Linked DNA regions of Macaca mulatta. The protein of the gene in region 1 interacts with the protein of each later gene in a pairwise test. Links are inferred from orthologs where the notes say so. Each region holds a gene or a part of one and is shown on either strand. Other genes may lie near its edges. The genes, in order: SUV39H2, PNMA1, RASSF1 and APPL2.

Region 1 (7,473 bases):
AGCTTCCTGAGTAGCTGGGACCACAGGCACCTGCCAACACGCCCAGCTAATTTTTTATTAGGGTTGCCCTGGCTAGTCTCAAGCAGTTCTCCTGCCTCAGCCTCCCAAAGTGCTAACATTATACGTGCGAGCCACTCTGCCTAGCCAAAAGCAGTATTTTGTATTTTTTCAAGTCTCTTTAATGTCTGGCTTAATAGAAGATAGCTATGTTCTGGTATCTGCTTCTTCGTTCAACGTGTTGCAATATTCAAATTGTGTAACCTCTGGAAAATTCCACTGTGTACTCATGAGCCAAGGCAGGCAGGGAACATGTTGGTCTGAAAATAGTTCTGTGCTCATGAACCCTCTGAAGGGTCTTGGGGTCCCCATTACCATACCTGGAGAATTCCTGCTCTAGATAGTAAACACGGTGCTGAACGTTGGACAGACAGGACCTCATCTATGCGCTGGAATGGATGAGGTTCAAGACGAGAAACAAAGGAAACACTGAATTTACAAAATGGTGCCATACATTCATTACGTAAGTTTTTACTGAAACTAATCAAGACCAAAGAACAAAAACTAGACAAGATAATTGCAAATTTTGATAAGTGCTTTTTAAGGATTCCAAGTAGGGCTAAAGAATTAGGTAACATGCGAGGCCTCTGTCAATAGGTGGCGTTTAAGCTGAGACCCAAGTGATCTGAAGGTAGCCATGTAAGGAGGGGAAGGAGCCTGTCCTCTGAACCGGAAAGTAATTTACAGCTGCCTTCAGTGATTTGCTTTATCCGCTGCTCCTCTCACTGGGAAGTCAGCTCCCTGAGGACTGGGTCTTTTGTCTTTCTCATCCGCTGCTATATTCCCAGCACCTATCAGGTGCCTGGCACATAGGAGATGCACAGTAAAAGATTTCTGGGTGAGTGGGGCCGAGGAAAGGCCTGGAGAATAATGAGTAAAGGGGAGTGGCACAAAGTGAGGTTAGAGACAGGATTCCAATCACTGGAGGTTTGAGTTTTATTCTGAATGTGCTGGGAAGTACTTAAAGCGGGGGGAAAGGCCTGTTCCTCTTTATATTTTAGGGTCATTTTTTCAGCTGCCTAGAAAATGGATTGAATGGGAGCAGTGGTGGAAGTGAAAACAGTTCAGCTGTTGTAGGACTTCAGTCGAGCAATGATGGCCTGGACTAAGGTCCAGAAGTGTATTTTTCTGGATATGTTCAATTGGAGATGTTTGTGCAACACCTAAGGGCATATGTCCATTAGGCACTGTGGATATTCTAGCCTGGAATTCAGGGCAGAGGCCAGGGTTGGAGACAAAAAGTTAGGAATCTTGTGTCAAGATGCAATTTAAATCCATGGGAATCGGGGCAGTCACATAGGGAGAGGGCGGATGAGAAATGCAGTCCCAGGGCTACAGTCCCTTCCCTGAGGAACCCAGGCTGGACTGAGGAAAAGGAGCCAAAAAGGGATTCAGGAATGACCAGTGAGTAGCGAAGGCCGCTCCTTGGAGGGCTCTGAAAACATACAGGAGAGGCAATGAGTGCTTGGGGTCGGTTAGGACGGGAGGCTGTATCTTCAAGGGCCTGAAGGCATAATCCTAGATAGACTACGCCTTAAAGGGCCTGGATGCTCTTCCAGGTGATAGGGTTGGGTAGGGCCTTTTATTCCTTATATCAAGGTAGTGAGATGCTCATCGTAGAAAATGATTAAATATGTAAAAACGAGAAGTTAAAATCACTTCGAAAGGCTGTATTTCGTTATTTTCCTATACATTTTTTTCCTAGTTAAAACTATATTTCAGGGGGATTTGTTTTGTTTTTGCTTAACACTAAAAGCTTCATGAACATCTTTTTAAGACGGCTAGACAGTATTTCATAATGGAATCAAATAACCAGTCCTTTAATGGTCTGCGTTTAAGTCCTTAGTAGACATCAAATGGCTTTCTGCCAGTTTTCGTTATTTGCTCTAAGATTTCTGCTTTAGGTTGTTTAAAACAGTCATATGGATGCGGCGTCAAGAATGGCTGGGGGGAGGGGGTGGAGACCAGGTGGGAGGCCCCCGGAGTCGCCCTGCAGCCTCCTTACCAACAAGTCCTCTTCCTCCCGGCCCCCACCCGTCAGCAGGCCGAGCTCAGGAGCTTGTCAACAACACGGGAGGGGGGCTCGGGTCTCCTTACAGACCTACCCAGTCCCAATTTACATTAAAAGTTGAGCCCAGGAGGTCGAGACTGCAGTGAGCCGTAATCGCGCCACTGCACTTGAGCTTGGTGACAGAGTGAGACCCCATCTCTCAAAAAATTCCAAGTCCGCACCTCCCCCCCACGACGATTCGTAAACCCCTTTTAAGTGTGAGAAGCACTGATGGAGACTGGCGGTTTCAGCTGTGCCGCACATTAGGATCAGCTGGGAGCTGGGCAGCACAGGCCACACCCCACACCAACCAGTCGGAATCCCGGCGACTGCACCAAGCCAGCGGAACCTCTCCAGCCGTGCCCATGTGCGGCCGCTTCCGAGGCCCGGTGCTCTAGGGAAGTGGGGTCGGGGGGAGCCTAACCATGGCCCGCCGAGCTGCGGTGGCTGCGGAACCGGACCCGAAAGGCACCGTCCCTGGCCGACGTCCTCCCGAGTGAATGCGCCAAACGGGCCTGGCGCAGGGTATGGGCGCCGGACACCGCAGAGCATCCCAAAGCACGCGCGCGCGCTCGCTCCGCCCCGCTCGGCTCCTCGCTTTTGGGGCCGGGCCTACCCTTGGGGCGCAGGCGCGCTGACCGCCGCGGCGGGGGGTCGGCCGCCAGTGACGTCAGGACGCCGTGCGGGTTCCATCCCCCCTACAAGCCCCGGCCCCCAAGTCCCGCGCGGGCCGGCCAGGGGCGGGGCGTCGGGCCAGCTGAGCTATCCCGTCAGACCGCGCCAGTTTGAATGAAAGCTCCACAAGATGGCGGCGGTCGGGGCCGAGGCGCGAGGAGGTGAGGCTGGAGCGCGGCCCCCTCGCCCTCCCCGTTCCCAGGCAAGCTCCCAAGGCCCGGGCGGCGGGGCCGTCCCGCGGGCCAGCCAGACGGCGACGTGGCGGTTCCCCGGCCGCCGCGCCCCCGACTCCGGGACGCACGCTGCGGGCGCCTACCCTCCCCCAGGCCGCTGACCCGCCTCCCTGCCCGGCCGGCTCCCGCCGCGGAGGTGGGCACTGCGCGAGCCTGGGGCGCTTCGGCTGCGGAGCGTGGCCTCTCCGCCCGCTCGGCCCGGCCCCCTTGGCGTCTCCCGTGGTGGCTTCGGGGGTCGGGGCCGCTCCCCGGCGGTCCCCGGCTGGAGGTCCCGGGGGCCCGGCTGCGACTGGCTCCTTTGTGGTGGTTCGAGCGCGGCGTGCGGCATGCGCCCGGGCCTTTGAAGTGGGAGGCGGGAAGCGACGCCCGCCGGCGTGAACATGACCTTAATATCAGAGGGGGAGAGGAAATCGGGGCTCCTGTGTGCTAAGGGGATAACCGAGGAACCCCCCCCCCACAAGGCGGACACGCTAGGAGGTTGAGTGCCTCGTTGGAGAGTCGCCCAGAAAGTGGGTATTTGAGGTTGCAGCCTCTGGCTTACGGTAACTCTTCCACCCACCGGGAGCTTGGTGTTATTTCTGTGGACGCTGGGGAATTGGGCACCGAGCGTGCGTGGGTGTGGGCGTCGGGGGGTGTTGGTGTCGCGCACGCTTTGAGAGCCTGGAACTTTTCCGTGCGTTCTGGAATGTAAAGGTGTTTTCAAGCTCGCCTCCTCTCCACTTGGATTATGACCTCATTATCCCCGAGTTTTTCTTCCTTGGAGAATGTCAGGGGTTACTGTGAACTAAGCTAGCGGAAGGTGTTTGTGGTGGTCATGAACTATTTAATTTTGTCAGTGAAATATTTTTCTACATTACTGGAGACTTGAGAGATTGTCGTTTTGCTTTTTTTTAACCACGTGTTTGCAGTTTTTCATGTTCACTTTTTTTTTTCCTTTAAATTCTCGAAGAGCATTTCCTTTGCGGGTTGTGTTTTGAATCCTCAACTAGATAAAAATGTTTAGGAAAAGCACACAAACACACCTTGGGTAGATACTCAAGAGGAACCACCTTTATACGTGATCCCCTTAGTGAGGTCAGCTTAACACAAAACGTCCTCTAGTTTTTTTAGATGGAAGGGACTTACGGGGTCATTTCTCTCCTATCACTGTCCTACCCCCAAACGACCACTCCAAAGCAATCGGCCTCTTCCCCCACGTTTTCTGGAGGAAAATACCTTTCTCTTTACTGCTTTAGGATGGAGTCGTTTGCAGCCAGTGAGATGGTGGAAATTATGCTTAAGGGTTTCTGACAATGAAGTAGTCTCTGTGTGAGGTGGGGAGGATGAGGAAAGGGTGCAGGAAAAGTTATTGCTGCTAACAAGTGTTCTCCCTTTCCTGAAATTACCTCAAAACATAAAAGGTGATCGCAACTACCTTGGAGAGCTACCAAGTAAAGCTTGAGTTTACTGATAGATTTTGTTTGGTAACACCAGTTTTCTCCATTTTTTTCCAGTGAATGTGACAGCCAGACAGATTGAGACCTCACTAAAGTCACATAGCTCGGTGGCTGAGCGATGGGTAGGGCAGAGGACTTTTGATCCTGTCTAGTGCTTACCATGACACTAGCGCTAACACCAAGTTTGTTCCATTTTCCTAAACGTGTTTGTTAATTTACACTTTAAATTCAGTGTGGTAACATGCTACTTACAGAAATTTGAGGGTCAAATCTTCTGGAACACAATTAGTTTCTGGCTTCTGGAGGGTTGATGATAAGTATGTCTAATTTTCTTTGAGTTTAGTACATGGCTTATGTAAATTGAACACCGTTTTAAAAGTTTGGCTTTAAAAACAATACAGTCAATAAGTATTACAAAATATCAATATACTCTCCATTTTTTTAATAACTCGAGTTTATTCACCTTGGTGATAATATATTGCAGTATGGGTAAAATAATAAGTGGAATTAAAGCTTCATGCAACATTTCAAAGAGAAAACTAACATATGAGTTTGTAACGTAGAAATATATTTTTATTAGATTTCAGTTTTGTCCAGTTAAAAAAAAATGAGTTATGTGTTAACGAATTATAATGTTGTTTTAAAGTATATTTTAGATGTGTTTTTAAGAATAAGTGTCCTAGAGATTTACATTTTATTAAAATAGTGATTATAGTCTATGTAGAATACAATGAAAGTAAGAAACACTACCTCTGTTGACCTGCATCTGCATATAATTTTTAAAAAGCTTACAGACATGAAACATTTTCGAGTGACTTAATGGAAATCAACTGATGTCAGTTAAACATAGTGGAGTAGAAATCCATGAGAAAATCCAAGAACACCAATTTAACGAAATAGTTCCTTAATGTTTAACTTTTTCTTGAAGACGCATAATTGGTTTCTTGTCATAGGAATTTTTAGTCTAAAATTGCCAGTTGAAAGTTGGGGAATAGAGGGTTTTTCTCTTTTTTATTTTAATTGAATAGCTATTTCATTAGTAAAGAATTCTATTTTCTTATTGTAGCTTGGTGTGTGCCTTGCCTAGTTTCACTTGATACTCTTCAGGAATTATGTAGAAAAGAAAAGCTCACATGTAAATCGATTGGAATCACCAAAAGGAATCTAAACAATTATGAGGTGGAATACTTGTGTGACTACAAGGTAGTAAAGGTAAGGCAAATGTCTAGCCCCTTACAAGAGACCTAATCAGACTTCAGTATTTCATATTTCTGTAACAAAAAAAGAACCTTAAAAGTAAGAAAAGCTCTTCTTAATGTTTAAAAAATTCTAAGCCATAATAAATTTATGTGTCCTGTCATCTGTGTTGCCAAATAGCATTGAGAGGATTTTGAAGCTTACAATGTTCTTGCATTAGAATATTTTAGTGCTCGTATTAGTGCTCATATCACTCTACATCCAACTCTTGATTATCTCCATGTGGGTTACCAGAGCAAATGTTTGATCTCCAATTGTCTTTCGTTTTGTTCCTGGATCATATTTCCCCACTATCACCTGAAATGAACCTACCGTTTCAAACCAATTTTAGTGTTATTGAATCTCAAGAACATCACCATTTGCATTTCCTGCCATCCTGTCAAACTCCAGATTTAGTCAGGTTCTAGGTTATAACAGAATGGCCTGGATTACGAAGTCATTTCCAGCTTTTGTTTAGTGCCTTAGAACTTAAGCAAACTCGTTTCACTTCTCTAAGCCTGCCTTTATTGCTCTTAAAAAATGGCAGAGTTGTTCTCTAAAGATATTTTGATCTAAACTTTATATTTTTGAGTAATTCATCTGTCTATAGCCTACCTCTCTTTCCAAGAACTGTTTTGGTCATTAATCTACCAATTCTATTGATAAGTGAATCGGGAATCCTGTTTAAGTCTTTGTTTTCCTCCTTCATCTTCTATATTGAATCAGTCACTAAATCCCATTCTTTCAAGTTCCTTTAGTATCACTGCCTTCCCCGCTCAGTGGGATCTTATGCTCGTGCATTTCACCGGCACTCTCAGCATCCTTCAGCCCCTGAAACAGCCCCAGTCATCTGCCATCTCAGTTTACAACCTATGGACTGACCAATCCAGCTGAGCATATTATACAATCATGCATATCAGCCCCATTATAACTTATTTCTGTTCTCACACTGCTCAGTTCTACCTGACGAGCTTTTAATCTTGCTTGCTTTTCCCATTCTTGTCAGCAGGTTTTCCAACTTGTGTTACTTTTCTGGGTTTCTTACTCTACCCATTTCTTGTTTTCTGCTGAAGACCTCCTACCTCAATGAAAAATAGGATCCTTCATGTGTAAACTCTCAACTTACCTTCACCGCCAGCTGTTCACTTATTCTTACTTCCAGAGGTGCCACCATTTTTCTTTTTTCTTCCTATCTACCCCTTCTAGGACTTTTTTTTTTTTTTTTAAAGACCCGGAGTCTCGCTCTTGTCGCCCAAGCTGGAGTGCAGTGGTGTGATCTCGGCTCACTGCAACCTCCACCTCCTGGGTTCCAGCGATTCTCCTGTCTCAGCCTCCTGAGTAGCTGGGACCACAGGTACTTGCCACCATGCCCGGCTAATTTTTGTACTTTTTAGTAGAGTTGGGGTTTCACCATGTTGACCAGGCTGGTCTCAAACTCGTGACCTCATGATTTGCCCACCTTGGCCTTCCAAAGTGCTGGTATTACAGGTGTGAGCCACTGCACCCTGCTGGATTTTTTTTTTCTTCTCTGGTGTCTTGTTTATATCAAGCTCTCTTTTTTTACAGATATATCTCAGTTAGTAAACATATTCAGATCTTCCCTAACCTTCAAAGAATCTTCTTTGGCCTTGCCTCTCCACTCATGCAAGTGTTTGTCTTTTTCTACTACTGCATGTCCCATTGACTTTTTTAACAGCTTTGTTGAGATATAATTCACATGCTGTTATACAACTCACCTATTTAAAGTGTACAATTCAAATTTTTTAAACCGGGCACAGTGACTCAT
Region 2 (7,485 bases), on another chromosome or scaffold:
CTCCAGCCTGGGTGACACAGCAAGACTCCGTCTCAAAAAAAAAAAAAAAATGTAGTATGTGTGTATATGTGTGGAGTGGGAGTGTGTACATATATGTGGTGGCTCGTTGGTGTTTGGTGGTGGGAGTGTGTGTGGGTGTGAGGAGAAGTGGGAATGTATGTTGAGGTTGGGAGAGTGGCATAGTGTACATGGAACGGGAGGAGGGTGTATGTTATCCGGGGAGTACTGAGGGGGAGATGACAGTGAATGTGTCCAGAGTGTGAGAGGTCGGCTGAGTGCATGCCTGATGCTGGTGGGAATGGAGGGGAAAGTTATGTGAATGGTGGGTAGCGGGTGAAGACATGCTGAGTGTTTGTGGTAAGTGAAGCTGAGCGTATCTGTTGGGAACCAAGGCAAGTATGTGGAGATGTGTTTGTGACAGGAGGAAAGGGATGTACAGACGTGAAGCGAATATGTGCACCGAAAAATCTGGAAGAACATACATTACCCCTTATAAACTTGTCGAATGGCTCAGCTATAATTTTAAAACCTTATTAGGGAAAAGCTCACTGAACACAATATTCATGTAGTAACTTTAGATTCACTGAGGACCTCAAAAGATGGATATCTTCAATCACTGAATCTTTGCCGCAAAAAAAAACATGTTTTATAGCTGTATTTCCCTTTTTATATCTTCCTGTTATAAATGGCTGCTGTAAAATAAGCCGTCATTTTACACAGGTGTGATGAATTATAGTTATTTCTTCAGTGAAATAAAATGTTTAGCTGAAAAGTGATCTTAAGAGAAAAACATTGCCAGATAACCTCCTGAACCCCATTTCAAGATTTTCTAAAAAAAATTTTTTGAGAAACAGGGTCTCACTTTATCACCAGGTTGGAGTGCGGTGGGGCGATCATGGCGCACTGCAGCCTCAACCTCCTGAGCTCAAGCAATCTCCCACCTCAGCTGCCTGAGCTGCTGGGACCACAGGCCTGTGCCACCATGCCTGGCTAATTTTTAAAAATGTATGTGGAGATTGGGTCTGTGTTGCCCAGGCTGGTCTCAAAATCTTGGCTTCAGGCAATCCTCCCTAAGTGCTGGGATTACAAGTGTGAGCCACCATATCTGGTCTCTAAATTTTTTTTTTTTTTTTTTTGAGACGGAGTCTCGCTCTGTCGCCCAGGCTGGAGTGCAGTGGCGCGATCTCGGCTCACTGCAAGCTCCGCCTCCCGGGTTCACGCCATTCTCCTGCCTCAGCCTCCCGAGTAGTTGGGACTACAGGCGCCCACAACCGCGCCCGGCTAATTTTTTGTATTTTTAGTAGAGACGGGGTTTCACCGTGGTCTCGATCTCCTGACCTTGTGATCCGCCCGCCTCGGCCTCCCAAAGTGCTGGGATTACAGGCGTGAGCCACCGCGCCCGGCCTAGATTTTTTTTTTTTTTTGAGACAAGAGTCTCACTCTGTTGCCCAGGCTGCAGTGCAGTGGCGCAATCTCGGCTCACTGCAACCTCTGCCTCCCAGAGTGATTCTCCTGCCTCAGCTTCCCAAGTAGCCGGAATTAAAGGCACCCACCACCACACCCGGCTAATTTTTGTATTTTTAGTAGAAAAAACTAGATGGCTCATGCCTGTAATCCCAGCACTTTGGGAAGCCGAGGCAGGTGGATCACTTGAGGTCAGGCGTTCCAGACCAACCTGACCAACGTGGTGAAACCCATCTCTACTAAAAAAATACAAAATTAGCTAGGTGTGGTGGCACATGCCTGTAATCCCAGCTACTCAGGAGGCTGAGGCAGGAGAATCACTTGAATCCGGGGGAGGCAGACGTTGCAGTGAGCTGAGATCGCTCCATTGCACTCCAGCCTGGGCAACAGAGCAAGACCCTCTCTGCCCTTAATAAAAATAAAAAATTTAAAAAATTAAAAAATAAACCAAAAAAATGTTAAGATGACAGCAAGAGGGGAAGGAAAAAAAAGGACTTGCCATTTAAATTCACATAGTATCATACAAAGCTTAAGAGTAAAATAAATGGTTTAATGACAAAGTCTTCATAAGAAAAAAGGACAGAGTTTACTTAGGCTAAAAATGTTTATACATGCCAGAAAAATGAGAAGACAACAGAATTTTTAAAATATTTTAATTTGTATATATAACTTCAAATTTAGAACACTCAGTATGAACAAGAACTATTCTCTGACAAAGATCTGAAATGGGGAAGTGAATTACTGTACAGGTGCATATCAACCTCTCCATGCAATTTACATCTGTATCTTATGCAATGAGAAACTGGTTTACACAGCTCCGTAATTGCAGTATTTTTTTAACACCCCATTTTGCAGTCTCAGAATACTTTTCAATTAAACTGATCGACATGTTTAAAGATGAGAAATATGATGTTTGCATTGTAAAGTTGAGTAATAGCTAATAAATGCACATTTCCTTCCATCAATATAAATCTGGAACTATTTATGGTAAAGAAAAATCTATCTGCGCTATCAGTAATCTAATAGTTCATACTTTTACTGAACACTTCCTGTGAGCCAGGCCCCGTAGTAAACATCTGCACATGCAATTTCACATTCAGTGTGGAATAGGAAGTGTCAGAGGTTCGTGTGTTTTTCACAACTGATTATGATGTCCATGATGACAGCGTGCACTAAGCGCTGTGTCCAACCAACCCTTTACCTGGCACTTTAGCCAGCAAGACCCACTTGCATTGTAGCAGCTCACGGTGCTCGCTTGCACAATTTTAGAATGTTACATGAATACTCAGGCCTGACTAACCTTCCCCTCCAAAAAAACAACAAAACGGAACAGGGCTAAGCCTTTACTACTCAGAGACACATCTGTAAGACCCCCACAGGGACAAGAAAACTAGCTGTGATCTAGGTCTGCACTAAAGCTGTCTTTTCTGGCACTCAGAAGTGCCCTTCCAGGCCTAACTGCAGAAGGGTGGCCTCAGCCTCCTCCTCCTCCTCCTTGGCTTCCTCCTCACGGATCTGCACCAGCAACTGAAAGAGGTTTGGGGCCGGCCCTTCCCCAGCCCCGGTAAGCCACAGCTGCCTTCGGATGGCCCCGCTGTGGTTGGCCCCAGCAATGACCTGCTCTAGGCGGGCCTGGTTCACGTTATCTTTATCAATGGCCCCCTTCTCTACCACCTTCTGTAGCAGAGGCTCCAGACGAATGACATAAGCAGACAATTTTTCTCCCGGGTTCTGATAAGTGTTCAGAAATTTGATCTGGGCATCCCTAGAGCTCTCAACGCTCCCAAACACCTGCTCAAGCGCCTTCAGGCATTCGGCAGTGGTTATCGCGGGGTTGTTGGACTTGAGGATGCGAATGACATCAGCGGCAGGGCCTCTAAGGCTCTCCATCAACCGCCGCCTCTTTTCTACATCGGACACCTGCCACTCCTCTAGGACCTCATTAGTGTGCTCCAGCCAGGGATCAAAGGTTTCCTCTCCAGGCCCTGGGATGTCCCTCCCCGAGAAAAGTGTCAGCCTCTTGTACCATATGGACTCAACAAGAGGCTGAATAACATTATCCAAAATATAGTTTAGCATCTCTGCTGGCATCTCTGGGCCCGGGGTCGGAGTAGGGTTCTGAAACCCAAGGACACGGGCAACATCTTGCACGGTCCACCCCTCTCTAGCTAGGAAGAGGTGCAATCTTTCTAAAAATTCAGCATCAGAAGTTGGGGGCTTAAACAACACTTTCCAGACCCCTCCTTTGCCCGGCATCTCCCTGGGGATCGCGGCGTAATCGACAGCGCCAGTGAGCTCTAATAAGGCTGCTTTCGCATTTTCTTCCCTCCAGAACATTCTCCCAAGCATTCGGTAGGGGACCTGGGGCATCGCTGCCTGGAGGGTCTCTTCGATTTCAGCCTCATCACAGTTCACTGGGATGCCCCAGACCAACAGAGCTCTCTGGGAGTTCACATCCATCCCCCGGCACCAGTCTTCCAACAGTGTCATCGCCATTTTCTCAACTATCAAGACGCCAATTCTACCAACAGACTGTGGCTCACCGTACTCCTGGCCTTAGAACAATACCAGACACTCCCACCAAGTAGGCCCAAGGGAGGTAGGCTTCATGCATTCACGACTAACAAAGACACAGAGTCCTGATCTCGCCCTTCTCTGCCCCCCCAGTCAGTCCGTAGGTACACTTGGAGCTGAGCTCGGGGACGCTGAGGAAGTCACGCGGCCGTCGCCATCTTGCGTCTGGGTCCGGGTCCGGTCGGGTCTGCCGCTTGCAGCCGGGCTGTCGCGTCGTCGTGCAGCGGGCAAGGAGCGAGGGCGGGCGGCGAAGGCAGGCGCGCTGGGTCGAAAGCAGCCGGGGTGTGGTCGCGGGGCGTGCCCGCCGGGCGCTCGCTGCGGCTCCTGGAGAGGATCGGGCGTTCGCGGTCGCAGCCTGGTCTTCCCGCGGGCGAGGAGCGGCCGTTTGGGAGACTAGCCAGAGGGAGAGACTGTGCCGAAGTCGCGGCGGCTGCGGGCCAGCGGAGAGCGGCTTCTTGGAGGGCGTGGGGACTCCTCTTGGCGGGCGCGGGGACTCCTCTGGGCGGGCGGCGAGGACGGCCGAGGACCAGAAACGAAGGCAGCAGAGGAGCAGGAAAGCCGGAGAAGCGAGGCTGGAAACAGCACAGGCAAGGGTGGGCAGCGGCGGCCGCGGCGGCCTGCAGCGGCTCAGGCGCTGCGCGGCTGCCCCAGCGTCGAGTCCTACCCGCAACCCGCTGCGACGTTACTGCTGCAGTGGAGGATGGGGCCAGCCCGCGAGCGGCGTCAGCCCCGCCCCGTCCCGCCCCTGTGGCGGAGCCGCTCGGGCGTCGCCATGGCAACGGCGCCCCAGCTGGCGCGAATCACGCCTGCTCCGGCGGCCCGCGGGGGTCGAGCGGTTGCCATGGTGCCAGCGAGGGGCTCGGGCATTTGTTTCTCTGATGGCGCATTTCCTTTTTCATAATTTTCCATTTTAACAGCAAACAAATACTGCTAAGCACCGTGTTTTAAAAATAATAACCCAATCCTGGAGTGGATTTAAGATGATACTATTGGAAGTCATGGCATCCCTCATGGTGGACTTGTCTACTCGGGTTGCCCAGCCAGTCCACCCTGCACGTGAAAATACTCTCCTCAGAACCCTGGCTTCCCGTTACCCCTGACCACACTGTGCACCCTGCGTATTTTATCCCAATGAAGCCGGAGTGCGCCATTTTTTGTGTGAGATACTGAGTTTAGACTTTTTCTTGTCTAAACTTTTGTAAACATCTGTTTGTCTGTGTCTACTGAGTCATCTTTTAGCCAGGCAAACATTAGTGTTATTTTCCTTTTCCTGGCTGGCATCGACAATAGGCTGCTAAAAGAGAATCCTTATGGCTCAAAAATGTCGAGTAATCTCCCTGCAAGCAAGACAAGGCCCACTTACATCAACCCCAGATGGTGAAAATCCCGAGAGAACATAGCATTCAACTCTGAATTTTTAAAACCTTATTTAATAAAAGGTTTAAAGATACAGAAGAACATTCAAAAGTAAATAAGTTACATAGGTACATTACAATCACATCAGCAAGATTCTTTAGTGTATTAATTTTTTCTTATAAAAAGCACACAAAAAATAAAATCTTCAGTCTCTATCACAACTGTACAGCAAAAGAGGTAATATTTATATGTATGTACACTATTTTAATATGTAACAGTCTTTTTCAAAAAGGGTGCCACAGGCAGCAAACACACAAAAGGCAGTGTCTGATCATTTTTGTTTCAAAATAAAAGGAATATACTTATTTATATGCTATTAAAATATTTGTACAATAATTACAGACTGTCAAGGCTGTTCCTGTGCTCTGTCCCCTCCAACAAGGCCTTCAACTTAGAGACAAATGAGGAAAAAGTGAAACAGCTGCAAATTGTTAGAGGCAAATATTAACATAGCAAAATGTGGGGAGGACACAATTGTTTTATAAAAATATCCCTACTTCCTGTAAACCTATGGAGTTAGGCTTGCCAGTCTGATAATAAATACCGTCCCAGAAAAGCGAGCCCCAGTGAAAACAACTAAACAGCTGAGGCTTGAGCATGTGTTGTATTCCTCCTTCATCTTAACATCTGGCACATGAGAAGAAAGAGGTTAGGTCACTGAGGCAGTTAAATATAGGCGATCCCTTTAGACATAAGCAGCAAAAGACCTTGGTGCCAGGAGTGGAAGGGGGCGCGGCAGAAGGGGTGGTATGTACCTTAGCTGTGAGGGGGGCTGCTGAAGGCATGGAGGACAGTAATGATGGCTCTGCCTCCTTGGATGGGTGGAGACCTCAGAAATGGTCTGCAGCACAGGCACTAGGTCAGTTTCCCGCCCTTAGCTGAATGCAGATGGATGCTGGGAGATGGATATGGTGAGATGGTGTGGGGAGGATGTTAAGAAAGCTGGAGGTGTTTATCACTTCTCAGAGCTCTGAATATAGGGAAAAAAACAACAAGAGACAAGCCCAGGGAGAAAGCACCATTAAGGATATACCTATGCCAGCTTCTATAGCTGCACCTACTTTATTGGCAAGTCACTTGCCACAATTACATCTACCCTCTAAACTTTTTAATTTTCACACTGTATCCAAGACATGAATGCATCCTGGAGCATGGACCTTCCTAAAATATGGTGTCTGGCAGGATTAATGCAGAGAGGTACCATCTTGATTTTCCCCAGTTACATTCACCGGGTCTGGTCTCTGTACGCTTAGAAGAGTAGAATCACTTTCTTGTTTAAACATTTATGGCCGGGCGCGGTGGTTCACGCCTGTAATGCCAGCACTTTGGGAGGCCGAGGCGAGTGGATCACCTAAGGTCAGGAGTTCAAGACCAGCCTGTCCAACATGGCAAAACCCCGTCTCTACTAAAAAAAAAACATACAAAAATATTAGCTGGGTGTGGTGGTGTGTGCCTGTAATCCCAGCTACTCAGGAGGCTGAAGCAGGAGAATCCTTTAACCCGAGAGGCAGAGGTTGCAGTGAGCCGAGATCGCACCACTGCACTCCAGCCTGGGCGACAGAATGGGACTCTGTCGCAAAAAAAAAAAAATTTTTTTTCCAAGTACAAGATGTTACCACTGAACAAAAGGGTCTCCTGAATGATGGAGGTTTCTGTTACCCTATGTCCATAAAGGGGACTGAAACCAAATATGGTTTGAATAGAAAAAACCTTGGGAAACGTAAGTAGCACTTTGGGGCTAAGCTGCGAAGGCACTCGTATTATACAAGTAATTTCGAAGAGAGCCTAAATTTGCTACCCCCCTGCTTCTACAGGGTATACCAGATTTTTGCTGTCTTGGGATACTGAGCTCATGGAAACCTGTGGAGGAAACTAACCGGGAAGTTGGGGATGTAGGTAGTCATCCAAGAGTCTGCAGGGAGAAGAAATTTGTTACTTCCACAGCCGGGGTCCTGTAGAACCACATTAATGTATAAATGGATGCTGAAAAATACCTGACAGTGCACAGTTTCAAAACAAAACTCCCTCTCC
Region 3 (6,753 bases), on another chromosome or scaffold:
CCGCCTTGGCTGGGGACTGCTAGCGGCTGGGGTCTGCTAGCAGCCGGTGGAGGCCTTGCGGAGCCGGCAATCCAGGCACCCCTCTCAGCCCTCGCTCAGAATTAGCCTCTCTCTGCCGCCGGGAAATCGGCACTTAGAACGCTCCTTGCGCGCAGCACCCAGGCAGTCTTCGAGAATGCCTGCGCTGTGGCCTGCCCGTCCTCGCCCTTCCCATACGCCCTCGGCCCCGCGCTCACCACGTTCGTGTCCCGCTCCACCGCGGGTTCCCAGCCCAGGTCCCGGGGCCCGCAGCAGTCCAGGCAGACGAGCGCGCGGCAGCGGTAGTGGCAGGTGAACTTGCAATCTGCAGAGAGGCCTAGCCGTGAGGCGGAGGAGCCCCAGGTCGGGGAAATGTCCGGGAGATTGAAGGGAAGCCCCAGGAAGAGGGCCGTTGCCCGCCAGGCTCCGCAGGCCCGGCTTCAGTGTTTTACCTTACACTGCTATGCGGACTTTAATGTTGGCCACCCTGGGTGTCTGGAAACCGGCCGGAAGGCCACAGCAGAGGCCTGCTCAACAGTTGGGATCTCTGTCGCCTAGCACAGAGCTTCCCCTTTCCTCATTGGCAATTAAAAAAAAAAAACCAAAAACCGGAGTCTTCCTTTTGTCACCCAGGCTGGAGTGCAATGGCGCGATTTCGGCTCGCTGCAACCTCCGCCTCCTGGGTTCAAGCGATTCTTCTGCCTCAGCCTCTCGAGTACCTGGAATTACAGGCGCCCGCCACCACGCCCCGCTAATTTTTGTATTTTTAGCAGAGACAGGGTTTCACCATGTTAGCCAGGCTGGTCTCAAACTCGTGACCTCAGGTGATCCACCCGCCTCGGCCTCCCAAAGTGCTGGGACTACAGGCGTGAGCCACCGCGCCCGGCCCTTCATTGGGAACTTCTATGGAATACATCTGCCCATTTACTTGAAGGAAAAACTAAACACCTTTAACCTACCTCTGCCCTCTGGTTGTCATCTGTCTGTACTCCCCTCAGACCAAAACATTGGTCTCTATACACTCTAATCCTTCGCCTTCACTCTCCCATCTACCCACTTCAGCCAGGCTTGCCTCTCCCTCCAGGAAACTGCCCAGGACAGGGTCCTCAGCGATCTATGCGCTGCCAAATGGAATGCAGTGTTCCATTCTCCATTCTCACCCACTCAGCATCATTTGAAGCTTGCTCCCTTTGACTCCCAGGGGCTACACTGCCAGTTTTCCTCCTACCCCCCCTGCAGCTCCTGCTCAGCTCCTTTGCAGATTCTGACTCAACTTCCGTATCTCATGATGAAGTCTGGGCTCAGTCCTGATCGCTGGCCTGGTCTGTCTACACAATCTTCTGCCCCAGATCCACAGCTGAAACACTGACCTAAACCCTCAGATTAGATCCTCCGTGCCAGTACCTTCACTAGGATGTCTAAAAGACGTTTCAAGTGAACATGGCCAAAATTTAATTCCCTTTTCTTCCACCTCACTGCTACCCTTGCCCAGCTTCCTCTTTGCAGCAAAAATGGCCACTATGCTCCCGGTTACTGGAAACAAAAACCCAAACTTATCGTTGATTCCTCCCTTGTCTCTACCTCTGATAAACATGCCCAAATCATCCTGCTTCTTATCTCTATGGCCACTTTATTTCTCTTTGAGAATGCTGCAGTGTCCCAGCCTTTTTCTTCCTTCCTTCCTTCTTTCTTTTTTTTTTTTTTTGAGACAGTCTCAATCTGTCCCCAAGGCTGGAGAGCAGTGGCGTGATTTCAGCTCACTGCAACCTCCGCCTCCTGGGTTCAAGCAATTCTCCCACCTCAACCTCCTGAGTAGCTGGGATTACAGGCACCCGCCACCACGCCTGGCTAATTTTTTTGTATTTTTTAGTAGAGACGGGGTTTCACCATGTTGGCCAGGCTGGTCTTGAACTCCTGACCTCAGGTGATCCACCCGCCTTGGCCTTCCAAAGTACTGGAATTACAGGCCTGAGCCACCGTGCTCGGCCCTTGTTTATTCTTTGTATTCTGTCACAACTTTGTGCTCCCCCCAGCTGAATTTGTGATGTCCTCTTGTACCAGATGAGAGGGTCTCCATGCACATACAGACCTGGGACACCATCTATCCACTAGTTCCTAAATGGGTCAGAGCACTGATGCTCAACCCAGACTCCATGTTACAATAATTTGGGGATTTAAAAAAATTTACTGCTGCCTTGAGTCCACTCCCAGCAGCTGATTCAATGGGTCTGAGGTGGCATCCAGGCTAGAGGGTGGGAGGGCTGTAAAAGCGCCCCTGGTGATTCCAGCTGGTGTCTAGCTAGGGGAGAGCAACCTTTGCTTGCTGGCGATTCCCAGGGGTGCAGAAGGACTGCTGGGTGTGTGGCTGCCTTCCATATTTTAGCTTCTGATTCAAGGGTGTTTGCTAAATACTCAACAAAACTCCTGCTTGCAGGGGGCACACCCAAGGTTCTAACTTTTTCCAGGCTCCCTCCCATAGGTGGGTAACTTCCCTTCACCCCAAAGGTTCTGGAGGGGGTCACAGTGAGTGAATGTTTGAGAAGAGGCAAGCCTGGGAAGATGGACTCCGAGGACAGTAGGCACAAACCCTTTCTCAAGAAAGGCCAAGGCATTTTAAAGATAAGAAACTTGAAATCAGCATATTTTTACATATAAGCTGCCACCTCTGCTCATCTGTGCCCCATATACGAGTGGAGTGCGACAAGGGATAAACCATTTTCGCGCACTCTTCAGCGATGGGGCGAAAGTAACGGACCTAGTCCTCGGGAGCTGTCCCCACCGACCACCTCTGCCGCGACTTGACCCGCGGCGACGGCGCTGCCCCTTGGCTGCCCCTTCCGCTCTCGTAGGCGCGCGGGGCCCGCTACTCACGCGCGCACTGCAGGCCCTTGCGCACGACGCCCCAGATGAAGTCGCCACAGAGGTCGCACCACGTGTGCGTGGCGGGCCCCGCAGGCTGGAAGCGGTGGCCACGGCCCGGGACCAGCTGCCGTGCAGGGTTGCACGCGGTGCCCCGCGCGATGCGCAGCGCGTTGGCACGCTCCAGCCGGGTGCGGCCCTGTCCAGCGCGCCCAGCGGGTGCCAGCTCCCGCAGCTCAATGAGCTCAGGCTCCGCCGACATGGCCCAGTCGGGCCGGTGCTTCGCTGGCTTTGGGCGCTAGCAAGAGCGGGCCGGGCGGGGCCACAGGGCGGGCCCCGACGTCAGCACCGCCCCCAGGATCTAAGTTGGGAGGCGGGAAGGAGCTGAGGAGAGCCGTGCAATGGAAACCTGGGTGCGGGGACTCTGGGGCCCGAAGGCGGGGCTAGGCGCGCTCTCGCAGAGCCCCCGCCTTGCCCTTCCTTCCCTCCTTCGTCCGCTCCTCACACCCCACCCCGGATGGCCACAAAGACGGCGACCGCAAAGCACCACACGGAGATACCCGTGTTTCTGGAGGCCAGCTTTACTGTGCTAGAGGAAGAGGGTCCCCACATCCGGCCTTCGCCCTCCTGGCCCAGTTTGCTGAGGCAACGCACTTGGCCTGCCCACCAGGTGGGGCAGGAAGTCTCGAGCCTTCCCTTGGGGTGGGGAGGAGGGGGATGGGTCAGCAGCTTTACCGCTGGCTCTGCTCTCCACTGCGGAGACTGGGGCTCCGGCAGAGGCTGGACCGTGATCTTGAGGTTCAGGGGTGCATTCTGGGTGGATTCCCTTGGCATAGGTGGTTGGCCCTCAGCAACTGCAACCCTCATTTGGCTCTGTCACCCTGGGCTGCCAGGACACAAGTCTTTCCATGCTTTTCCCAGTGCTTGACTTGGCACTCCCTGCAGGCAGGTGGGTGTTGAGGAGGGCAGTGCATGTGGGGGATGTGGCAGTAGGACTTAGGGGTCCAAGGTCCTAGGATACCCTCACCTGCAGCAATACCACTCATTCTGGCATCGCGAGCAGCGCTTAGAAGCCTCTGCACTGCAGTAAGCACAGCGGGGCCGCTCTGGAGCCACTGCCTCTAGCACGTCCAGCCTGTAGGTCTCAGCCCACCTGGGGGAAAGTCAGGAAGATCTGACTGGCCTTGGAAGGTGGGGGCATCCCTGCCCACATCCATGCCTCCTGCATCCCATCCACTCCTCCTGCCAGTTCCACAGGACTTACCTTTGTGCCTGCAGCCGCAGGTCCTGCTGTGAGGGGCTGAACACATGTTGGAGCTGGTGCTTGGCAATTGCCTGCCACTTGCCTCTGTTTTCTCGCTCCAGCCGCTCCCAGATTTCTGGGATCTAGGGAAAGGAGTGGAGAGTGGCAGGAAGGTGCTGGTAAAGTAGGACAGTGGTCCTGAGGAGCTAACTTTCCAGTGTCTACCTGTTCCAACACCAGGTCCTTCTTAGGGGGCTGGGTTTCAGTCAGGGCCAGATGGGCCAGGAAACTCTGCAAGTGGGCCAGGTTGGGCAGCTGGTCCAGTAGTGTGTCTGTGAGGAAGGCCCGAAGCTGCAAGAGTGTCCAGTGGAGGCCAGTGTGATGCAGGTGCTGGCCAGGGGGCCACGGAAAAGGAAGGGGCTGGGTTGGGCTGAGCATGCCTGTGGGGGTCCATGTCCCACTAGCTGGTGTGTCACCTGAGGCCCAAGGACTGAAAAGAGCACGGGGTTTGAGGTGGGTGGGCAAAGATAAACAGCAGGGACAGGGTCAGGGTAGGATGGGGAGGGCGGTGCTGGGGCTGTGGGGGCTGGTGCAGAGGGAGTCCGACCTTGAGTAGCTGTCCCTTGGCAAAACTTGTGAGGCAGTAGCGCGCCTGGGCCTCAGGGCTTAGCAGCAGGTTGTACAGGGCTATCCACACTTGCCCGTCCAACTTGCTCAGCTTTTGCTGCTCTGAGGGGGCCACAGTATGCCAACGGCTGCCCTCGAACTGCTGCAGCTTGCCTGGGGAGAGGAACCAGCACACTGGGTACAGGCATTGCATTCTCTTCAAGTGAGCCAGCTGTGGGGCCTGGGAGACTGACCACTGCCTGGGAATGGTGGGAGAACCTGGGCCACAGGACTTGCCCAGGCTATAGTGCTGCTGACCCCAGAGCAGAGTGAGCCTCAGTAGTGGACACATGGGCCTGGCCTGCTGCAGAGCTCAGGTCTAGGCCACTCTTGGCTGAGGCATCCTGGTATCCTCAGATGGGCTTGGGGACGGGGTTTGTCTTCGTGTGTGCAAACTGCCCCCTCTATCAAAAAGATATCCTGAAGCAGTAGCCTGGGGCTTAGGCTGGTGTGGGAGGACCCTACCTCCTTCCCGCCGGTTCCAGGGACTATGCTCCAGCAGTTCCACCAGGAGGCAGGGCAGGTTGTGTGTGCTAAGCATACGGCTCAAGGTGCTGAGAGAGAGGCTAGGGGCAGGGACGTTGTGAAGGAGGTGAGCAGAGGCAGGCTACAGGCCCAGTCTTCCAGCCCTCCACGGTAGGCCCAGGCCCAGTCGGACTGCCCACCTGTCCACACAGTCTGTGATGTAGCGCAGTACTGAGAGGGCCTTCAGTGCAATCTCAAATTCCATCAGCTCTGCCTGCTTCTGCAGCTCCTGCGAGGTCACACAGTGTTCATGCTGGGCTACCCTTGCCTGTGCAGGCCTTGGGGAACCCAGACCTAGGCTTTCACAATCCTAGGTAACCTCAACCCACCTGCATGGGGTTGCTGTCCTGGGACCCCTCCCCTTCAGGGGGGCCACCACAGCCACTCCGGGCCACCAGCAGAGTCAGTTTGCGGTGGCAATAGTCTACCAAGTCCAAGACAGTGTCTTCTGCTGACTCACACACCTCCTGGGGAAAGGGGGAGGGAAACTTTCTGTGTCTGATGCCCTCCCCACACAGATACAACCTCCCTTCCTGCCAGGCCCTGACCTGAAACTGTGGCCCATGGGCAGAGATAGTCCCTCACCTTGTGGAAGAACACTGTCTCCAAGAGGTTGATGATGGAGGCCTCGTGGTGCACCTGACAGACAAAGAGAGGGACAGGGCCTGTGGTAGGGATAGGGGCTACCAGCTCCCCTCCCCAGTCCAGAGCCCTCTGAAGGAGTGGGAGGAGGTATGAACCAGGGGCCCAGCTCACCACCATGTAGATGGGAAAGGTGTTCTGGGGCTTGAAGTCCTCCACCCTGCAGAGCACGGGGAACACCTTCTGCTTCCACATCTCCACTGCGATCAACTCCTCCACCAGCGTTGGGACCTTTGAAGGATGGGGTAAAGGACAGGGATGAGATGGGCCTACCTTTGCCTGGCAACCCTCCTATCCCCAGCTTGGCTCAGCTCAGCCCAGATCTCCCCAAACACTGCTGGGCCCCTAAACTATCCCAAACCCCATGGCTATCCTTCCTGACTTTTCTCTTGCATTTCGGACCTTCGTTTCCAGCTGCTCCCAACACCTCTGTGGATGTCCCTCATGCTTATGTGACTGGCTCCTGCCCAGTTCCCAGACTGCCTTGCCCTGCCTGCACCTGCCCCCTTATCCTCTCCCCGCCCATTCAGGCGTCCCTTTCAAGTCAGCCCTTCTGCTCATGCCCTCCCTCTTGTCCCTGTCCTGTGGTTCTCTAAGGCTCTTGTGTGCCTTGGCCTCACTCTTACTCAGGACCCTTCACAGTGCCCTGTTCTTCTTATCCTATCCCCTTGTATGAGTTCCACCTTTCTCTTGCAAAGGAACTCTTTTTTTTTTTAAGACAGAGTTTCACTCTTGTCACCAAGGCTGGAGTGCAGTGGCACGATCTCGGCTCTCTGTAACCTCTGTCTCCTAGGTTCAAG
Region 4 (6,753 bases), on another chromosome or scaffold:
GTTCCTATTTCTCCACATCCTCTCCAGCACCTGTTGTTTCCTGACTTTTTAATGATGGCCATTCTAACTGGTGTGAGATGGTATCTCATTGTGGTTTTGATTTGCATTTCTGTGATGGCCAGTGATGATGAGCATTTTTTCATGTGTCTGTTGGCTGTCTGAATGTCTTCTTTTGAGAAATGTCTGTTCATATCCTTTGCCCACTTTTTGATGGGGTTGTTTGTTTTTTTCTTGTAAATTTGTTTGAGTTCTTTGTAGGTTCTGGATATTAGCCCTTTGTCAGATGAGTAGATAGCAAAAATTTTCTCCCATTCTCTCCCTCATCTTTCACTGTCTCTTCCTCATCCTGCTTTAACTCTCAGAATTCCTCGGCCTTCTATGTTTCTGGAAGAACCATCATCTATGCCTCAATTTTTTTCACACACCTGATTATTTTCTGAATGGGTAGGAGGACATCTGTGCCCATGCGTGTGAGATGTCGTGGTTTCCTCTTTCTGCAGATCTTAGAGCCTGTGTCTTCCCTTCTTGTCAGCATTTCCATGAACCATTATTAGGCCAACCCAAGTATAGCACCAGCCATCCTGAGAGAACCACAACCCGGGCATTAACGTCAGAGGCTGCGCCTGGGCTACATGGCCTTCTCTGTGCCGGCTGGGGCTGGCTCTGCGAGTCACCCCCTCTGTCTGACAAGCTGTATTTAGCTATGGGGTGACAGGCAGCTGGTGGGGTTTCCAAACTGAACCTTGCAGTACTTGATTTGAATAACTAAAGTACTGTTTTGAGTGCTACTTTTCCTATAAGTTTTCATTTCATGTTGGTGAGTAAATATGACCGCTCTTCTCCAAACCAAGGGGTGGTTTTGCTGCTGCATTGCCATGCATGAGCGGCCAGCCCACCCAGGGAGGCCTCAGAGCAGGATCTGGTGGTGGCCTTGAAGCTGTGCAGCCCTTCCCCGGGGGATGATGCCACAGGTGCTCTGTGCTTTCACGGTGGGGGTGGATTCAGAACCCAGTGGTGGGACTCCAGATAGCACGGCATGGTTTCCAGCCACCCCGCAGAGCTTTATCCCCTAACCCTATAGTGATACAGTTCTACCTTTCTGCAGCTCATATCTATAGATGAACAGATACATAATTGTGTGTGTGTGTGTGTATATACATGCTTTTTTTTTAAATATCTGTGAAGAGAACCAGTTGAAAGCAATTAATTTTAACCATGTTCCTTTGGTTCCCGGGAACCTTGGATGAGCTCCCAGTGTTTGAGCCTGAGTCTGTGTGGGGCAGGGGAGAAGGGGAAGGCAGGTCAGCTACTAAAAATCTCCTGGGGTTGTACGCAAGATGCCACGTTGGTGCCCGTGTCCTTCTGGGGACGGGGTCCTTCTTTTGTATCACATCTTCAAAGAGGTTTCTCACCCATAAAAGCTGACCCTGAGCTCTTGACAGGCTCTTGGTCCCTCCTCCCCATTCTCCCCTCCCCCTTTCTCCTCCCCTGTCCTATGTGCTGAGCTTGGTCTTCCACGTTCCATTCTCTCAGCCAGGGTAGTGACAAGCAGGCGAAGCTAATCAAGTTTGTCCTCCAGCTTACCTGTCCTAAGGCCACCAATGGTAGAGTCCCCCATCATCCCAGTCAAATGTCAGAAAAGCCAAAATTGAGCTGCATTAAAGATGAGGAGCTGACCAGGAGCGGAGGCTCACGGCCATAATCCTAACACTTTGGGAGGCCGAGGTGGGTGGGTCACTTGAGGCCAGGAGTTCAAAACCAGCCTGGCCAACATAGTGAAACCCCTTCTCTACTAAAAATACAAAAATTAGCTGGGTATGGTGGTGCATGCTTGTAATCCCAGCTGTTTGGGAGACTGAGGCATGGGAATCGCTTGAACCCAGGAGGCGGAGGTTGTAGCGAGCCAAAGCAGGAGTCTAGACAGACAGACAGACAGACAGACAGACAGACAGATAGATAGATAGGGAGTGGGGAAATATGGAATGCCCAAGCCAACATTCCTTAATTACAGAAGAGAGAGAATCCTGAGGTGCTCACGTGGAGAAACACTGGCCCCCCGTTTGCTTCTGATTTTAACCCTGTGATTGCCGTGTCTCCTGTGACACAGTGCAGAGGAAGCCTCCTCTAAAGTGTGATTTCTCAGATGGATGGGCCCTGTTGGGCAGACTGTCACAACTGGGTGGGGTGGCCTGGTGAGGTCTAGCTTAGTAGGGGTAAAGGGCAGCCACCATTTCCACACGTCAGCACACACCTCCATGAAAACCAGGGGCTAATGTCCCAGAGCCAGGCCATCTGTCCACTTACCCCTGTGTGGGCAGCCCTCGGCCTGCTAGCCCACGCAGCCTCGGGGCAGATCTGTGGCTGTTAGAAAAGGAAAAGCATTGCCTTTGGCTTTGTGGTTGCACCTTAGTACCACTTCCTGGTCATTTTCCTGTCAGCACCGCTCCTGCCTGAACCAAGAGCAGGGGAGGCCTGACTACCATTTCATTCCTTCCTTCTTGGAACTTGCTTAGGCTGCCTGTGTGAGCAGCCCTGGAGGAGGGGCTTCTCAAAGCTTTTCTCCAAAAATGTGCATCAGCGGTGCTAAGCATGGATACCTCTGTCAGCAGCAAAACTGTTCAGCTGGGTTCAAGCATAGGTCAGTGGCATTCCTTAGGTTCTGTTTTAAAACAGCAGTCATATAGACACATTTACTACTGCAAAATTGAGTCCCTGTGATTCATAGTTTTCAGGGCCTAAGGGTAGAGGGTTGTGGCCTTGTAGGAGGCTGGCAGCTCCATCTGTAAGGCCGGAAGCTTGGCGGGGGTGGAGTGATGGCTGCCAGTGGCTTCTTAGTAGTGCTGGGTTGGCCAGCAGTGAGTAACTGACCCAACACCTTCTGTCTTAAGCATTCAGGTAGAACTGGAAGCCGAGGCGGAAAAGATGCGGGTGTCCCAGCAAGAATTCCTCTCTGTTGATGAATCTGTTTACACTCCAGACTCTGATGTGGCCGCACCACAGATCAACAGGAACCTCATCCAGAAGGCTGGTTACCTTAATCTCAGAAAGTGAGAACGCCACCGTCTGCCTCTTTTTCTGAAATCAGTTTTCCCTAAGAAGTGGCTGAAAAGCAATCTTACATGCCCCATTAAAGTCGGAGGGAGGTGGGCGGGTGAGACTGGGAAGAACTCCCATCACAGCAGCCCTCCCACTTGCAACATAGGAAACCTCTGGGGCCCTAAGAGATGGGGCTGGAATGAGTCCTCTAAGAGCCCGGTGCTGTAGACTCCAGGACACTGTGGCCCACCCTTGTCTCTGGTCACTGTGGCCATGTGCAAACAGACCACTCTTAACTGTTACCATCCTGGACCACTGACATTTTTTATCCCGTCATGCCACTTCCCCCACACCAGCTGGCGGGTGAGAGCCATGTGCTGGAGACCTACCCGCGAGCCAGAGGCAGCGTCAGAAGGCTTTTAGAGTCAGTTCGATTCATACTGATTGGGTCACACATTTACCACTCGGGTCTTTAAGTGTCCATTTTGAATGGAAGGGATGATCAGGTTTAAGTGCTTCTGTGAGCGCAGAGGATATTGTCATGGTGTGGTGTGAAAAGCACTGACTTTGGAATCAGACAGCCCAGCTGGGCTGAGCCTTGATCTCTTCATGTGTAAAATGCAGCTGATAACCGCACCTGCTTTATGAAGTTAGATTGAATGTGTTCATCCCTCCCAGGCAGTGAGCACTCAGATGTCAGCCGCTGCCATTTGGGGAAATTACTGGGACAGGAAAACCAGTGCCTTTGGACATAGTTGCTACTCTGTAAATACTGAGCCAAGTAAAGTATTTGAAAACCCCCAGTGGAGGGTCCATGGAGAGGAACTGCCAGCTGTTAGCAGGCTGGAGCACCTCTAAGGTCTGGGAACTTGCAGCGATCACAAGCTAAATGTCCCCTGGAGTTCTGCAGGCGTAGAAAACCCACTGGGTTCTGTTGTTACTTGCCAGGAACTAGATTTTCCTTTTGTAAGCAGCCCACAAAACAAGAATGACCTTCAGTTAAAGCAAATCTGTTGAGAGCCTCCTAGGACCGGTGGGTGCTGTGGGCGAAGGCAACCGTGAGTAGATTCAGAGCAGCTCAGCTCCAGGTCTCAGAGAAATGATTCTCCAGGTGTTCAGTTCTTCATGGTGGTGGACTCATTCTAGTTCCATCTCCTGGTTTAGTAGTCAGCGTGTGGCTGCAGTGCGGGGTCGGCCCTGGGACTGGTATCTCCCTTGGAAGCAGAGCCCGTGATCTCCCAGATCATTCTAGCTAAATTGTACCCTTCTGCTGCTCTTTCTACTTGAATGGGCAGTTTTGCTTTAACGATATAAAGAAACACATTATTTCTAAAATGCCACCAGTACCCATAACGAGGCAGCAAGACTTAGAGGTGCGGCTGGTGCTTTCTGGTACTAATGGGCTTTTTAAAACACAACCCACAGCAAAACAGGGCTGGTCACTACCACCTGGGAGAGGCTTTATTTCTTCACCCAAGGCGGGAATCTGATGTGTCAGCCCAGGGGAGCCGTGGCTGGAGGTTTGATCCAGGACCTGGACAACTGCTCAGTAATGGCCGTGGATTGCGAAGACCGGCGCTACTGCTTCCAGATCACCACACCCAATGGAAAATCGTATGTCTCACGCGTTTTATTTGGGAGGAGAACGAGTATAGTGGTTTCACCCGTGCCAGGGGCCTCCTAGTTCATTCCTACGTGCCAGCCCTCTGTGGGAGAGGCCCCAGTCTGGGTATTGTTTACCTTTCAGGAGGATGATTTTCTGCTCTCTTTAAACAAGCCCACGTGACCCATAAGGGATCCAGCCTGTCTTATCCCATATGGAGATAAGTGAGGGTTTGTCTGTAGCTTTGGAGATGACCTACATGTGTGAGACAGCAACAGAAGTCGTGCGTGTTAGCACAGATTCTGAGAGAGAGAGAAGGCTGTAGCGACTCCTAGCCTGTTGTAAAGAAGCATTTGTGTTTGGATTGTGGCAGGGGAGGGTAACTGCATTTTGGTAAGGACGACCTTCCTGAGAAGGCCATTTTTCCAGCAGAAGCGGGAGTTGTGAGAAGTACACTCCGCTGCAGCAGTATTGGCGGCTGCCATGCTGTTCCCACACGCCCTGTGTACCTGAGGGGCCCCAAAGAGGTGGTACTTTAACGATCCACAGCCTGTGGTCGTTCACAGTAGATCCCGTCCCAGTGGGATCCCCTCTCAGAGCAGTGGTTTTTAAACTGCCCCAAGGAGTTCAGAGTCCCATGGAGGGGCTTCAGGGTTCACCTGCCTGGGGAGAGGAGTGGCCCTGCCCGTCATCAGAGCTGCTCTTCTGGCATTGCATTCTATTAAGATTTGACGTGAACCGCAGGGGGGCGCGGTGGGGACGGCGTTGGGATGATGTCTGTCCTCCCAGCTTGGCAGAGCAGCTTTAGACCCCGTCCTTCCTGCTTTGGTGATGGGAATGGAGATTCCTGGATGCTCATCATGGTCCTTTGCAGTTACCTCCTCTGGGCCTCACTTTCCTCAGATAGAAAATAGAAGTAAGATCTATGTTGCCCCATCTGCCACAGATGAGAGGAACAAGGGAACCGGCAGATGTGGAGTCTCTTTAAAGAGGTAAAGCCTCGGCCGGGCGCGGTGGCTCACGCCTGAAATCCCAGCACTTTGGAAGGCTGAGGCGGGGGGATCACCTGAGCTCGGGAGTTTGAGATCAGCATGACCAGATGTGGAGAAACCCTGTCTCTACTGGAAATACAAAATTGGCCGGGCGCGTTAGTGGTGGTGGGCGCCTGTAATCTCAGCTACTTGGGAGGCTGAGGCAGGAGAATCGCTTGAACCCAGGAGGCGGAGGTTGTGGTGAGCCGAGATGACACCATTGCACTCCAGCCTGGGCAACAAGAGCGAAACTCCGTCTCAAAAAAAAAAATAGAGTTAAAGCCTCCACAAAGGTAGGGCAGTATTACTGTTACCTTATTCCCAGGCCTCCATATGCAGACTTTTCAGTTCTGGGAAAGGAGTGAATGGGCTGCCAAGTCCTTCTTTGGGCATGGTGGAGGAGTGGCTGGGCTTGGAGTCCTGGTCATCTTGGATCATTAGAGGAGGTCGACAGATGAATCTCACTGTAGAATCAAAGACTTGGGCTAGAAGATCTGAGTCCCACCTTCTGATTTCATAGAAGAATATGCTGAGGCCCAGGGAAAGGGCGTGTTTGTCCAAGATCACACAGTGAATCAGGGAGAGCCAGATCTACAAGCCCGTTTTCTTTTTTTTCTTTTTTTTTTTTTGAGATAGGGTCTTGCCCTGTCACCCAGGCTGGGGTGCAGTGGCACAATCACCACTCACTGCAGCCTCAACCTCCTGGGCTCAATCAGTCCTCCCACTTCAGCCTGCCTAGTAGCTAGGACTATAGGCACACGCCACCACGCCCAGCTAATTTTTGTATTTTTTGTAGAGAGGGGGTTTCGCCATGTTGCCCAGGCTGGTCTCGAATTCCTTGGCTCAAGCCATCCTCCTGCCTCGCCCTCCCAAAGTGCTAGGACTGCAGGCGTGAGCCACTATACCTGGCCCTGGAACCCCATTTTCTTTCCCTCTCATCATGCTGCCTTCGTGGCCCGTTTCCTCCCACACCCCAGCTAAGTTCAGTTTATGTAGAATAATCCCCAGTCACTGAGATCGGGGAAGTACTTAATTACTCAGATGCTTTTGTTTCAGGGGAATAATCCTCCAGGCTGAGAGCAG

What was found.
Region 2: the proteins of SUV39H2 (region 1) and PNMA1 interact in binary tests that used the Homo sapiens proteins (3 or more experiments, as listed by UniProt). The two-hybrid records come from large-scale screens. The link is inferred for Macaca mulatta from reciprocal best matches to the Homo sapiens genes SUV39H2 and PNMA1.
Region 3: the proteins of SUV39H2 (region 1) and RASSF1 interact in a two-hybrid assay, tested with the Homo sapiens proteins (2 studies listed by BioGRID and IntAct). The link is inferred for Macaca mulatta from reciprocal best matches to the Homo sapiens genes SUV39H2 and RASSF1.
Region 4: the proteins of SUV39H2 (region 1) and APPL2 interact in binary tests that used the Homo sapiens proteins (3 or more experiments, as listed by UniProt). The link is inferred for Macaca mulatta from reciprocal best matches to the Homo sapiens genes SUV39H2 and APPL2.

The regions. Positions count from the first base shown.
Region 1 is NC_133414.1:16,431,554-16,439,026, forward strand, and holds the start of SUV39H2 (histone-lysine N-methyltransferase SUV39H2), read left to right. Parts: upstream 1-2,889; 5' UTR 2,890-2,912; coding exon 2,913-2,943; exon of another isoform or gene 2,944-3,524; intron 3,525-5,517; coding exon 5,518-5,663; intron 5,664-7,473. UniProt on the Homo sapiens protein: Histone methyltransferase that specifically trimethylates 'Lys-9' of histone H3 using monomethylated H3 'Lys-9' as substrate.
Region 2 is NC_133412.1:146,881,680-146,889,164, forward strand, and holds PNMA1 (paraneoplastic antigen Ma1), read right to left. Parts: upstream 4,764-7,485; 5' UTR 3,961-4,763; coding exon 2,899-3,960; 3' UTR 2,093-2,898; downstream 1-2,092.
Region 3 is NC_133407.1:113,817,236-113,823,988, forward strand, and holds part of RASSF1 (ras association domain-containing protein 1), read right to left. Parts: intron 6,185-6,753; coding exon of another isoform or gene 6,068-6,184; intron 5,951-6,067; coding exon of another isoform or gene 5,897-5,950; intron 5,779-5,896; coding exon of another isoform or gene 5,641-5,778; intron 5,541-5,640; coding exon of another isoform or gene 5,452-5,540; intron 5,353-5,451; coding exon of another isoform or gene 5,252-5,352; intron 4,987-5,251; coding exon of another isoform or gene 4,728-4,986; intron 4,472-4,727; coding exon of another isoform or gene 4,346-4,471; intron 4,264-4,345; coding exon of another isoform or gene 4,142-4,263; intron 4,031-4,141; coding exon of another isoform or gene 3,905-4,030; intron 3,817-3,904; coding exon of another isoform or gene 3,741-3,816; exon of another isoform or gene 3,443-3,740; intron 3,181-3,442; exon of another isoform or gene 3,154-3,180; 5' UTR 3,140-3,153; coding exon 2,890-3,139; intron 580-2,889; exon of another isoform or gene 471-579; intron 356-470; coding exon of another isoform or gene 344-355; coding exon 237-343; intron 1-236. Other genes in the region: ZMYND10 (zinc finger MYND domain-containing protein 10), read right to left, coding at 3,741-3,816, 3,905-4,030, 4,142-4,263, 4,346-4,471, 4,728-4,900, 5,252-5,352, 5,452-5,540, 5,641-5,778 and 2 more. UniProt on the Homo sapiens protein: Potential tumor suppressor. Required for death receptor-dependent apoptosis. Mediates activation of STK3/MST2 and STK4/MST1 during Fas-induced apoptosis by preventing their dephosphorylation.
Region 4 is NC_133416.1:112,456,902-112,463,654, reverse strand, and holds part of APPL2 (DCC-interacting protein 13-beta), read left to right. Parts: intron 1-2,888; coding exon 2,889-3,047; intron 3,048-4,461; coding exon 4,462-4,650; intron 4,651-6,726; coding exon 6,727-6,753. UniProt on the Homo sapiens protein: Multifunctional adapter protein that binds to various membrane receptors, nuclear factors and signaling proteins to regulate many processes, such as cell proliferation, immune response, endosomal trafficking and cell metabolism.